Linked DNA regions of Canis lupus familiaris. The protein of the gene in region 1 interacts with the protein of each later gene in a pairwise test. Links are inferred from orthologs where the notes say so. Each region holds a gene or a part of one and is shown in the gene's direction. Other genes may lie near its edges.

Region 1 (4,606 bases):
CCACATAACTCTAATCCATAAGCTACAAAAATCAGGCTGATAAACACAGGGCATGAAGGCCATTTCAGAAAGGGGATAACATCTTATGCAATATTTGGACCAATATTTTAAAATATTCTACATCTATAAACTTTCTAAATCATAAAATACGAAGTATATGACTATCTCATGTTGATAAAGCTAAAAAGTGAAAAACTTAATGATGTAAAATGGTATATTTTCCCTTTGAGCATGTGTTGATGATAATAGCATTTATTGAGACCTTCCTATGTGCCAAGGACTTTCATAAGTGCTTTATATGAACATCAACTCATATCTCTCACAATAACTCTCTAGGAAAGGTAAAATTATTATACACCTTTTGTGGATGCAGAGACTGAATGATGAAAAGAGAGTCAACCTAAGCAATCTGAATCTAAATCCCACACTTTTACTCACTTCTCCAGAAATTGGATGCTCTTGGGATGTCAAGGTGAATTCTTCTTCCCCACCACTCTGTGACTTTCTTTACTCCATTTCCTCTTTCAGGAGGTTGACTTGCTTCGTGGACAGTTGGGTGACCGACTCAGTGTAGAGCTGGACACTGCCCCCACCATCGACCTCAACAGGGTCCTGGAAGAGATGCGTTGTCAGTATGAAACCGTGCTGGCCAACAACCGTAGAGACGTGGAAGAATGGTTTGCTGTTCAGGTCAGTACCCAGAGCAAGAAAATGACAAGCTTCCAGACTTCTGCCTTATTTGCATCCTCTAATCATACCTGGTTTACAGACAGAGGAGCTGAATCAGCAGCAGCTGTGCAGCGCAGAGCAGCTGCAAGACTGCCAGACAGAGATCCTGGAACTGAAACGCACAGCCAATGCTCTGGAAATTGAGCTCCAAGCACAGCAAAGCCTGGTATGTAAGGGAAAGACAGCTCTGTTTTTGTCACTGAAGAATTAAGCCCTGAGATGCTAGTCCCTCTTCCATGAACCCAAGGAGAGATCCACAGTTCATGTGGCAGAAAGTCTGAATTTCCAATATGCAAGGATTGTATTCTTTGACTTACCCAAATACTGCTGTTTACTGAGCTAGAAGCAGAAGTGATAGGTCAACAGTCTGTACTGTCCCAACAGGATTCCCTGACCTTCCCTCCTGGGCTTGAGCATGATCCTGCAGCACCTTCCAGAGACAGAAAAAGAACAGGAGGGCAGGAGCAGAATGAGAGTGGAACCTCTGAGCTGAAGGCACTGAAGCATTCCAGTGGGTTTTAATTGTGCTTTGATTTGGGCCAACTTCTCAAACTCAGCATCATATAAAAGAATAATATTCAAACTTTGCATTCTTCCACTACCCTAAGCTTTTCCAGGATCCACACCTCAACTGGACCCTTCACTCCACCCCATTTCACCCAGCAATGAAAATACTATGCACTGGGGAGCCTGGCTGGCTCAGTCAGAGGAGCATGTGACTCTTGATCTCAGGATCATGAGTTCAAGCCCCATGCTGGGCATAGAGGTTATTTTAAAAAAAAATTTTTTTAAAAAGGATACCATGCATTGAAGATCACATTAGCCAGTTCCAGTCAGACACCACTGTCTGTGCCACATTGGGGCCTATAGAGACTATCTGGGTGAATAATAGCTACATATTTATCTTGTGAGAGGCTTAAACGCCTCATAATAACTTGATGGGATAAATCCTTTTACTAAACCCATTATCAGATGAGGAAGACTGAGACTCAGATTAAGTAGCAGGGGTCATGCAGTTGTTTTTTTTTTTTTTTTTTTTTTTTTCATGCAGTTGTTAAGAGGCAAAAGTGGAAGCTGGATCCAGCTGGTTCAATCCCAGAGCCTCTTCTCTGAACCATTCTATATGGCTCTTTCCTGCCCCAAGTCCATACTCAACTTCTCCCCTCAAATGCTGTTGATCTTCCTTAATATATATTACAGGTTGTGATGGGCAAGTGGTGATAGTAATAACTAACCCTTGCACAGTTTTGAAATTTTTTCCAGGCACTGTTCACAGTGTTTTACACATATTAATTCATTCAATCCGCACAACCATCCTATGAAATAAGTACTTTGCATTGGTCATTTTTTATAAAATAAAACAGCCTCAGAGAAGCTAAGTAATTTTCCCAAAGTCACATAGATGCACTAGGGTAGATCAAGGATTTGAAAACCAGCACTCTGGCCCCAAGGACTATGCTACACAGCCCTTCTGAATATACTCTTTTTCTTCTGCAGACAGAGTCTCTGGAATGCACTGTGGCAGAGACGGAGGCCCAGTATAGCACCCAGCTGGCCCAGATGCAGTGCCTGATTGATAACGTGGAGAACCAGCTGGCTGAGATCCGCTGTGACCTGGAGCGGCAGAACCAGGAGTATGAGGTGCTGCTGGACACAAAGGCTCTGCTGGAGGGTGAGATCAACACATACCGAGGTCTCCTTGAGAGTGAAGACAGCAGGCAAGTTCCACACGATTATTCTCAAAATCCCCCAAGTCACAAAGAAGCTCATGCAAGAGAATCTTGCCTCCTCAAGGTCTGCCCAAGGTGAAACCTCCCTCATGTGTTAAATGATCTCCTTACAAGAGTAAAAAGACAAACAAAACAAAACAACAACAACAAAAAAAACAGCTGAGGCTAATCACATGACAGTAGAAGTATTCAAAAGTATTCCAAAGTTCTAAAGCAGAATAAGTATCACATACAAAATTTCATGCTGGGCGTCCCCCTTTGTTCCTGACTTCCACCAAAGAGAAATCAGGAACATGCATAAGATAACATTTGCAAAGTGAAATAAATACACAAAACTGTGTATTCAACTGGCACAGGGGCAGTGAGCATTCCTAGTGGCAATGCTGAATCTAGGCCTGAAATAGGCTTAGGTCAAATGCTACTCTGCAAAGAGTGTTCAGAACATCATTTGCAGGGCAAATTTTGGCACGATCTTTTCTGAGTTGAAATTTTACCTGGATTTCCCTTGTTAAGCTTACTTCAAAATTTCCACAGGCTTCCTTGTAACCCGTGTTCTACAATAAGCACATCAAGCAACACTTGTGAGGCATGCTCAGCGTATCTGATTTGCACGGTCGAAAACTACTGTGCATGAATGTTCAACCCTCGGCGCAGTGGATAGAGGAGTCAAAGCCAGCAGTGTCCTGGAAAGGAGATGGGACTTCAATCAGATGCATCCAAATCTAAAAGTCAAGAAGGGGTTTCTACCCTAAATTTGTCCTCTAAACATCCCCATTATATTTCTGCTTTGTCATTTCCTCTCCTGCCTGCTTATTAGTGATATTCTAGGAGTCTATAAAGCTTTCTTGCTAATCTCCAAATAAAATATGTTTCATTCCTTTAGCATGGTAAATATAGCTTTGTGGCTTATAACTGTGGATATAAGAACCATGTGATGCCTAAACCCATGTCGATAGTTTGATTTTGCACAAACCGAGGCTGAAAATAGTTTTTAACTCCTCAAATACAAAAGTTTAACTAATCCATGCAAAATGTCATACATCTTGGAAGACAGTTGTATGTATCTTTCTAAGAGGAAATTTAAGAATAAATGTCTTATTTGTAATTATAAAAGTACAGGATTCCATTTTTTTCTCAATTTGGCACATGAAAGGGGAAAAAATTAGTTACAATTCCACCCCCAAACACCCGTTATCAGTATTTTGGGAGCTTCCAGCTTTCTTTCATATAATAGGTTTTTCCACATAATGGAAATCATATTTACATATGCACATAGTTGAGTAAACTACTTTTTTCACTATGTCATGTAAGCATTTTCAATCCAAATAAACCTATAAGATTGTCCTGTGACTGTTATTTTAGTGGCTACATAAAATACCATAAGGTTATTGGCCTGTTATTGGACATTTGGGGTATAAGAATAATTATTCATACACATTTAAAAAGCAAAGTGGAGAACTCCACCTCCAAAAAAATGAAATGGATGTACATTTCCTCATTCCTCTTCCTAAGTCTGGCTGAAAACCAGGGAAATTACATATAAAAGAAATATAAGCAGATTCTGAAAGGTGGAAGAAGCCAAACCAACTAGAATCATATTCAAGGAACAGCAAGCAAGTGAGTTCCTTGGGTTTTCTTTTGGCCTCATATATCCCATGTTGGGAGCTGAAGAAACCAACAACCCATAAATACCAGCAGGGGCAGACAGAAAAACAAAATCTCCAAGAGGAGAGTCAAGGGACATGAAGAGAGGTAAGGTTTCTATACTTCATCTGCAGTGATAAGATGTCAACACAAATAAGCATGATAAGGTTTATGTATATATACAAAATATAATATATATAATGTAATATATAATATATATAATGTAATACCTTGAGCATACTTAAGAAACTATGCAAAGAAATACACTTAAAACTTTGATTTATCTATAACTCATAGAATGAGTTTGGAAGTTTTCTTTCCCTTTTCATTTTTTAAAAGAGCTTCAGAAGAACAGGTATTAGATCTTATTTAAATGTTTTGTACAATTCTCTTGGGAAGCCATCTGACCCTGGACTCTTGTTTGTTGGGAAATTTTTGATCACTGCTTTAATTTCATTGCTGGTTATGGGTCTGTTTAGATTTTCTATTTCTTTCCGTTTCAG
Region 2 (4,523 bases), on another chromosome or scaffold:
GTGTGCGCATCTTTTTTTTTTTTCCCTTCAAAGTTCTTTTCACTCCTTTCCCTGGGCTGACTCTGGAGATTTCCTATTTAAACTCATTTAACATGTGATCCACTTCATAATTAAATTCATAAAAATCTGATCAAACAAACCTCTCTGCTTTAACCCTTTGTTTTTTAAACTCTTAGGGCCCCCCTCTGGAGGGGAAGGCACAGACGGCGGCTCCCTCCCTCCCCGGCCCGCCTCCCCCCCCCCCCCCCCCCCCCCCTCAGTCGGGTGGCTGCCGATGTACGTTTTAATTACCGGCTCTCGTTGGAAGTCTCACGTGGCCCTTGCTTTATTTATTTATTTATATCTTAATGAGGATACTGAATCCTTGATTAAAGTCGTTATCGTTGCCAATTCGGCAAGGAGGGGGAGTCGGATGTCAACGAGGCGCGGGGGGGCGGGGGTGGCGGGGAAGCTGTGTGCAGACGTCTGCACAGAGAGAGTAGCACGCAGTACAGGCCTGCGCAGACTGGCCCTTACTCAGACAGACACACAGCTAGTGAGGACCAGGGTCTGCATAGACCTCTACTCCCCCTGGGTTTGGTGGGGCTGGAGGCTGGGGACCAGGTGGTCTGTATGGCCCTGGCAGGTGCCGGGAAGCCCAGGATTTGGTCTGTCTCCAGACCTGCCCATGCCTCTGAGCCAGCCAGGGCTGTACCCCGTAGCTTGGCGAGAACCCATGTGGAGATGTGGTTCTGCTCTTTCAGCTTCTCCTGTCTGACTCCGCCTGGGAGTGCTCCCAACCACCGCTCTGTGTCTTCAGAGCTTCTTGCAGAGAGAGCGAGCCCGCAGTGAGCAGACCCCAGCATCCACTCCCCACAGAGCCTTAAAAACCCTTCAGCACCATCAGGAGAGATGAGAATTTATGTGGGGACGGGGGCCTGCGTTTGAGAGGGGGGAGGTTTGGTTAGCGGCCTGAGGAGGAGAGAGACAAGAGAGTAAAATATCATTTTAAAGAGGAAGTGAAGGCATAGGCACGCGAGTCTATAACGAGAAGGACAATTTATGCCCAGGCACGAGTGCAGTTTGACATGGGGATAATGAAAAAACGTAGGTCATTGTGGATGACTTAAGCCTTCAGCAGCCGAAGAAAATGTATGAAATGCAGAGGACATTACACGGTTGGCAGCCCCGCACATCTGCAGAGGGACAAGTGAAATACAGTGGGCCATTCTTTACCATAAACTGTGGTTGTTGGAGATGCAGCCCAGAGAAATTGTAATTACAGTGACAAGACGAATCAGCGATATTTAAATATTCATGAACAAAGTCTGGGGTGATCCATCTATCTTTATTGTCTGTGCCTTCACTCCTGTAATAAATAAGTCGCCGAAGGCCTCACCTTTCAGCCCCCAAAGCCTCCACTTTGGGTACAAAGCAAAAGATGGTGGATCCCAGCACCCCACCCTCTCACCCTCCAGGGGGCTAATGGGTGCCACACACAGAAGGGAGGCCGACGGCACCGCTTCCAGGCCTGAGCATCTGCCCTGGGTCGTCCGTGTGCTACGTACCCAGGCAACAAGGATCGACAAGTCTCCCTTCTGACCCTCAAGGTGCTTCCATCCTCAGGGTACAGTGTGCGTGGCAGGAGAGACAGGGCTGTGTGCAACTTAGCCATCTGATAAGTTATCAAGCGTTCAGACTCCAAAACCAGATCTGTATCCTGACTCAGCAGCTTATGAGCTATTTGACCTTAGAGATCAGCTAAGCATCTCATTCTTCTCGTCTATATGGTGAGAATTGTGTGTTTCTTGTCAGGTGGTTGCAGCGATTACATGATAAGATGTGTGTAAGGCTCCCAGCATGGTGGTGAGCCTTCAGCAGGTTAGACCATTCCAATTAAAAATTCCCGTAAAAATGATCCTGCTGCTAAAATAACGCAATGCTAGGTATTTCTTCTCTCTTAGGATAGAAGAAAGCGACTCAGTTTATCTTGGTGGGAGAGGTTGAAGGGAAACTTCCAAACCACGGTAATGTGTGAACTGGGTCTTGAAGGATGAGTAGGAGTTCATTGAAGCAAGGAAAGAGGAAATCAAGCAGAGGGGATAGTTGTTGTAACTGTGGAGCGAGGAGGTAGCACAAGGCATTTGGGGGACAGTGTGTTCTAGTTCCCCAAATTGGAGGGTTTTTTTTTTTGAGGGCAGGAGAGGCAGTTAGGCTACCTATGGGAAAGGAAGAGGGTGGCAGGAGAAGTTGGGGGGCAAGGTGTCAAAGCCCACGGGTCTGCCCTCCCCTTGTGGGGGTCTGCTTTCTGGGGTCAACTGTTCATCCCTGAAACAAATGGGCTTTCTCTTCCTGGGATTGGCCCTTGACCCACAGATGAACTCTAGGGCCCTGTAAAGTATGGACATGTGTGTGCATACAAGCTCCCTGGTTCACACTGGGGCCCAGAGGAGGCCACGGGTCCTTATATGTTTTTGAAGAATGGTGGTGAAGATAGGCAGTCTCATCTTCTCGGTGCATTAAATGTGCCCTGCCGCCTCTTGAAGAGGGGATGGGGGTAGGGGAGACGAGGCTCTGATCCAGCCTTTTGTCCCCACAGGCGACCACCCGTATGAGTGTGAGTTCTGTGGCAGCTGCTTCCGGGATGAGAGCACACTCAAGAGTCATAAACGCATACACACGGGCGAGAAACCCTACGAGTGCAATGGTTGTGGCAAGAAGTTCAGCCTCAAGCACCAGCTGGAGACACACTATAGGGTGCACACAGGTACGGAGGACTGGTGAGGGCACCCCAGCTTGCGCGGGGACCTGGGTATAAGTGGCAGGGGGCAGGTGGTTCTCCAGAGCAGCCTGGGTGGGCATGGTCCCAGGCTGAGACGGAGAGTGGAGCGTGTTCTGGGAAAGGTTAGCACGGCTCAGGCGCCACTGCCCCCTGCAAGGCCGAGGCACACGTTGCTAGTGGATCACAGCACACTTTCCAGGAGCCCAGACCCACCTTCCAGGCAGCCGTACCAATAGTGCATAGATGACTTCGATCTGTGAGCCCTGAATTGGGGTCAGGTTGGCCTGAAGACTAAAAGCAAACGCTGGGCAGGGCTTCTTGTTCCTGGGGGCTAGGGGAGCACTGAGTTAGGTTAGGATGAGGGCTGTGATGCTGGGAGTCAGATCGCAGACAGATATATTCACAGACCCCTCTACCTGTATGATGTTTACCATTTCAGAGGGCCTTCACATTCTTTTTTATGTAAAAGAAATAGGATGGGGGTGTGGGGTCTGAGGACAGAGCAAGGGGAAGTGGCCGTGGTGGCCAGAATTGCCAAACTGGGGGGTGGCGGATGCTGGAGCTGGCCTGCACCAGCTCATGGAAGTCCACCTGCACGTCTCTCCCTGACTCCCAAGTACAGCCACATCACCTCAGACACAGGCAAATGCTACAAAATTGAGCCTTTTTGGAGAGCTAGTTGTTAAACATTTACCAGCAGCACCCTGCTGGTTGCGGCTTTGGGGTGGGGGGGGAGGTGGATATTCAGAAGGACTTCCTATGAGGTAGTGGGAGGTAGTGGAAGGTAGTGGAATCTAGCAAAGTAGGAAGCCTCCTCTGATCATGTGAAACAGCTGTCCTGACCTGGGGACAGAGGATGGGGGGAGAGGTGACCTCAGACAGGTCCTGCTGGCCGAGGGGCGAGGATGCGTCCACAAGCCGCGGGGAGAACAGGGAAGCAGTAAGGAGAGGGAGAGGATGCTGCGTTATGGAGCTCTGCTTTCTTGCCCCCGGCCTGGGCCAGAGGAGAGCCTCAGGTGCTTGTTGCTGACAGCCAGAGTCACTCCGAGCATTTCCCAGAGCCCCAGGGCTTCCTTAGCCCCCTGCTGGGGATGTGACCTGGTGAGCGGATCATTAAATGCATCGGTGGTGACTATTGTAAATAGCGGGTCGATAGTTAGATCACTTTGGCTGTTCATTACTTCATTATTTGCTGGGGCCTCTGCACAGAGGAGTATCGATAGCGAGATGGCTGGCCAGTTAATTACTGTATCGAAACAAGGTTCCCTCACACCCTCTGCTCAGCTCCAGGGGACTCTAACTGGCAGGAGGTAGGGTGGGTAGCAGCTAGGGTGTGGCCAGGCATTCCCAGGCTATGTGTCCCTTCCCCATCCTGGCCCCCCTGGGAAGGCTCAGGGTCCAGGGGTGGCTCTGGGAACCTTAGGGGAATAGGCATCCCGGATGGAGCATGTTTGGAGGATGGGGTTCCCTCACGTTCACCCCCATCCTCCCCACCAGCTATAGCCTGAAAGGACTCTACGCCTTGTTCCCCTGAAAGGAGCTGTGCTGAAGAGCCGTCCCTAAGGGCTTTCGGGACCCCACTGCCCCATTTCTAGATTCCATATCCTTTCTTTGGAAGGGAATATTCTGGGCCTTTGGGTTCAGAAGAATAAGGCAGGGCTAAGGGGATGCTGAGCAATACTGGAGCCGCTGAGATCAGCAACAGGGAAGTGCCACGGAACATGCAGCTCCAGGTGCGCTGGCCACACTGCAGGCGCCCAGC
Region 3 (4,523 bases), on another chromosome or scaffold:
GCACCACGCCGCGCAGTTCCCCAACCACTCTTTCAAGCACGAGGACCCCATGGGCCAGCAGGGCTCTCTGGGTAAGCAGGCGGGAACGATGTGGGGTCCTTCTGCCCTTCTTCCGCCATCCCCCCCCCCCCAATTCCCGGAATTGCCAAACCACAGCAAATTGCGAGAGAAGGGAGTTTTAATCATCAGCCCAGTCCCACTCAGTTTTAAAGAAAGGACTGAGTTTTGCCCCCACCCCCAAGAATGTTAGGGACAGCTCTACTCAAGCAAGTCTGCGTCGGTCTCGATGGTCTTTTCGGTGTACTAGGAAGCGACCGCCTAGGGAATGTGAAGTGAGAAGCTCATTAGCACCCTATGATCAATCGATCCGGACGCCCACTCTCTCGGCACGCCCCAGCATCCAGCCCCCCAACCCCGCCGCTTAGTCTCCGAGCCCGGCTGTCCCAGACCCTGCCCGCGCGTCCTCGCACCCCCACCCGCACTGGCACCCCGATCCCTTGGGGCGCGCTCACGCAGCTCTCGGGTTCTCTGCAGGCGAGCAGCAGTACTCCGTGCCGCCCCCCGTCTACGGCTGCCACACCCCTACCGACAGCTGCACCGGCAGCCAGGCCCTGCTGCTGAGGACGCCCTACAGCAGGTAGGAGGGCGCTCGGCCGGGTGTCTGGGTCGCCGGGACCCGGGGCGGGGGGTGCGCGCGAACCCCGGGAGCGGTGACGTCCGACGCGGGCACCCTGGACCTCGGGCGTGCACCATCCCGGACGCAGAGGACGCCTTTAGCTACTTAAGGCAAATTTAAGCAGACCTCCTGGCTCTGCTGCGGAAGAGGTAGGTTTCCTCCTCTGCTGGTGGTTCTTGTTTTGAGTATAAATGACGGCGGTTACTATTTGAGCTAAAAGAGTGGCGCTTCGAGAAGTTTTTTTTTTTTTTTTTTTTAAGGCTCCTTATGGGAGGGCTTTAACTTCCTCGGGACCAGAGATGAAACGCGGAGTCCACTCCCACTCCGTTCTTCCCACTGCTCACCCCCCGCCCCCGCGCCCACTGCCACTCCGGCCGGCCGTCTCCTTCTCCCGGAGTCCTGCGAGGGCGCGGACACCCGGACCGCAGCCTTCGGCGCGGCCCTGCGGTCCCGGGGCCGTGGCGGCGGCGGCGCGCGGCGGGCGTGGTTGCCAGCGCCCGGCTCCGCGCGGGGACCCGACCCCGACCGTGTGCCGACTGCAGCCGGGACGCGGCAGTGGCCCCCGGGGACCCCGCGCCCGCCCTCCCGCCCGCGCCCGCCCTCCTCCCCGCTCCGGGGAGGCGGGAGACCGGCTTCTTTTTCTTCCAAGCTTTTTTTTTTTTTTTTTTTTTTCTGTCCCTGGTGCGTCCTCCCGGCTCTCGCTCCACCCTCCACCTTCTCTTCCCCCAAATTTATTCTTCAACTTTGGGTGAACTTGGCCGGCGTCCCGCGCCTCCGATAGGGTTGCCTAGTAACTGGTGCACACGCCGGCGCGCGCGGGCCTGGAAGGTGCGGCGGGGGAGGGAGGCGGCGGCCCTCGGCCCGGGAGGCGGGGGTCGGGCGCGCGTTAGCTCGCGTTCCGCCCCGACCCCCCAGCCCGGGGCTGCGGGGAGCCTGATACCGACTGCCCCAAACTCCTCTCCATCCTCCCCCCTCCGCTCGAGGACCCGGGGCTGACGTCAAGGGAAGGAGGTAGTGAGGTAATGAAGGAAGGAAAAGCGCCTGCCCTGGGAGATTGGGTGGGTGGGGGGTGGCCGCGCCTGGGGGACCTGCAGTCCCACAGGTGGAGGAGGGGAAGGAGTCTGCGCTCCCCCGCCGGCGGCGGCGCATCCCAGGGCCCCGGTGCGCATGAAATTGAGCCTGGCACCGGTCTGATTGTCCTGTGGGGGAAGTACAAGGTCGAGCCCCTTCTGGTTTTGTATGCTTGAGGCCCAGGGGCTTCGGAAGCCTTTCCTTTTGATGGGAAACTCTGGCCTATCTACTTGGATCTTGGATTCGAGATCACTCCCCTTCCCTTCCCTTCCCCTTCCTTTAGCCTTTCTTCTTTTCTTTTCTTTTTTTTTTCCTTTCCTTTCCTTTCCTTTCCTTTCCTTTCCTTTCCTTTCCTTTCCTTTCCTTTCCTTTCCTTTCCTTTCCTTCCTTTTCTTTCTTTTCTTTTTCTTTCTTTCTTTCTTTCTTTCTTTCTTTCTTTCTTTCTTTTCTTTTCTTTTCTTTTCTTTTCTTTTCTTTTTTTTTTCTTTCAGCCAGAAGGGGCAAAGAAATGTGCAAGGGTTGCACAGAAAGAGGTAGAGTGACCACACCTCCTCATCCTCCTTTTCTTTCTCACTAGCAGATCTCGTTCTTTTTTTTGACACTTCAGTCCCAGTGCCCTGTGCTTCCAAGCCCATAGTCTCTGTGCTTCCTCGTGGTGGGTGGGGTCACTGGAAGGGGTGCAGAACCCAGAACCATTTTGTGTTGCCAACACTCCCACTCCCACTCCCACCCCAGTAAAACTGTGGTGGCAGGGCCATTGCTATCATTCTTGAGGAACTGCTTCTGCCCGTTTCTAAAGTGGCGTTGTGGTTATCCTAGTAGCCATTGGGGGTGCATTTGGAATGGTTCCCCATGGGAACTCCTACCTCCTTGGTTCCTGATTGGAGCCTTACCTAGGCAGCAAGGAATACCTCCATGCTGGAATGGGTGCTGTTGAGATGTGCTGGGTTACCTCCTTGGGTGTTGGGGCCTGGGAGGCATTGGAATCTAGTTCAGAAGGGACACAGATACACAACATTTTTTACTCTCCTCTCTCACAGAGGGGCTGAGCAGCCTAGAAAGAGGAGGTGGGGAAAAAGTGGTCACAGTCGCTATTTCAACAACAATTCTCCAAACTGAGTCCCTGTGGTGGATTTTGACTTAGGGCTGAATTTGTGGTTGCCATGGAAGTAGGAAAAGTCACTTGGATTGCATTTTATAGGTAAAATTCTCACCTTTCTAATCCAGCTTCTGATTGTATAAAGCAATTTTGTCAAGTTCATCTTTTGGAAATATTTGCTTATCCCTTTCTGCTTTCTACATAAATGGAACTTCTTTTGCTTCTCATTTTTATGTTTATGTCAACAAAATACCATTTTCTTCTGTGAGAGAACATTTCTAAGCAGTAGCATCTGAAGAAGAATTTGTGACTCCCTAGGAAAAGAGTTTGCTCCCTTGAAGTTTGTACTGTCTTTGAAGTTCCAGTCACCCTAAATTCATAATGTTTCTAATCACTTTTCAAAGGTCAGATAGTTCCCCTGAAGTAACGATGAGTGGACAGGTGTCGGGAAGTTTTAAAATCGATTCTATGCATCGACATCACTGGAGTTATGTCATTTTCTTCTTTTTGCTCCTAAAAAAAAATCTGAAAGGGTATTTATATGCTTTTATGAACGCAGTGTTTGAAAAAGCATGGGAAATAAGACTAAATTTTAATCACTTAATGGCTTAACATTTGGGTTTTAGATACTCAGTGGTGCTTCCATGGTCCTTGGCTCCATTCCCTTCTGTCTAAAATTGGGACCTCCTGGGAAAGGCTTGCTTGTATTTCGTTTGCCTTGGTGCACTTGACCCCCTGGGGCAGCCTGCCCAGCCTTTTATCCGCTGCCCTCCAAGAGCTTCTGTCTCTCTAATCTTGAATTTTGTCTTCCCAGCATGAAATAAAGGTGATGATACATATGCTGATATTAAACAAGCAGTGCACAATACGAATTTGTTTTCAGAGAATTCTCAAGATTCTCTCCTCATTAGGAGAGAACTATACAGGGATTCTTCTCTCTCAGGTAACAGATCTCAGGAGTTACAGCGGGGCACATTTGTGTGCAGATGTGAATGATAGTGAATAGAAAATGTCCCCAGTCAACTTATGGGTAGTGATAGGAGATGGTTTTTCCCATCCTCTCTGCCATCCCGCATATTGAAGGTGGGTAAAGCTCTGTCTAAAGGTCACTAAGGCTTCTGAAGCCAGATTTCAGCCCCTATGGGACCCAGTGATCATAGCTAAGTGAAACATGAGTAAACAATGAGGATTTATTGCATGCTGACTATGTGCTGCTGGGCACTGAGCTAAGTGCTTCATTCAGGTCACACTTTTAATTCTTCTGATTACTTTGTGAGGTAAGTACTCTAATCTCCACTCTGCTGAAGAGGAAATAGGTTCAGGCTCTCGAAATAACTTCCTTAAGTCACACAGCAAATCAGAATCAGGACCAGGACTTGATCCACACAGTGTCTCTGACTTCAAAACCCATCTGTGCTCTGCATTGTGGAGGAGTTTCAGGCCACTCGGCATCCTCCACCTGGAATGTTCCCCTTACACAGTCTGTATCAGTACTGTTGCTGATAAATATGCAGAGCAAATCCTTATACAGACTTCCTTCTTTAGGGGCCCCATTCTAAGTACTTTACAAGCATTGACATCTTTAATCTGCATGACTCGTTGAGGCAGGCAATAGATTTTCATCCCCATTTTACAGAGGAAGCCTTTGGAGGTGAATTTGCCTGGTATGCCACAGTA

What was found.
Region 2: the proteins of KRT40 (region 1) and ZBTB16 interact in binary tests that used the Homo sapiens proteins (3 or more experiments, as listed by UniProt). The two-hybrid records come from large-scale screens. The link is inferred for Canis lupus familiaris from reciprocal best matches to the Homo sapiens genes KRT40 and ZBTB16.
Region 3: the proteins of KRT40 (region 1) and WT1 interact in binary tests that used the Homo sapiens proteins (3 or more experiments, as listed by UniProt). The two-hybrid records come from large-scale screens. The link is inferred for Canis lupus familiaris from reciprocal best matches to the Homo sapiens genes KRT40 and WT1.

The regions. Positions count from the first base shown.
Region 1 is NC_049230.1:21,662,342-21,666,947, forward strand, and holds the end of KRT40 (keratin, type I cytoskeletal 40), read left to right. Parts: intron 1-438; exon of another isoform or gene 439-528; coding exon 529-690; intron 691-758; exon of another isoform or gene 759-769; coding exon 770-895; intron 896-1,046; exon of another isoform or gene 1,047-1,159; intron 1,160-2,226; coding exon 2,227-2,447; exon of another isoform or gene 2,448-2,565; intron 2,566-2,953; exon of another isoform or gene 2,954-2,993; coding exon 2,994-3,093; 3' UTR 3,094-3,572; downstream 3,573-4,606. UniProt on the Homo sapiens protein: May play a role in late hair differentiation.
Region 2 is NC_049226.1:19,123,008-19,127,530, reverse strand, and holds part of ZBTB16 (zinc finger and BTB domain-containing protein 16), read left to right. Parts: intron 1-2,578; coding exon 2,579-2,746; intron 2,747-4,523. UniProt on the Homo sapiens protein: Acts as a transcriptional repressor. Transcriptional repression may be mediated through recruitment of histone deacetylases to target promoters. May play a role in myeloid maturation and in the development and/or maintenance of other differentiated tissues.
Region 3 is NC_049239.1:35,503,664-35,508,186, forward strand, and holds part of WT1 (Wilms tumor protein), read left to right. Parts: coding exon 1-71; intron 72-534; coding exon 535-637; intron 638-1,565; exon of another isoform or gene 1,566-1,695; intron 1,696-4,523. UniProt on the Homo sapiens protein: Transcription factor that plays an important role in cellular development and cell survival. Recognizes and binds to the DNA sequence 5'-GCG(T/G)GGGCG-3'. Regulates the expression of numerous target genes, including EPO.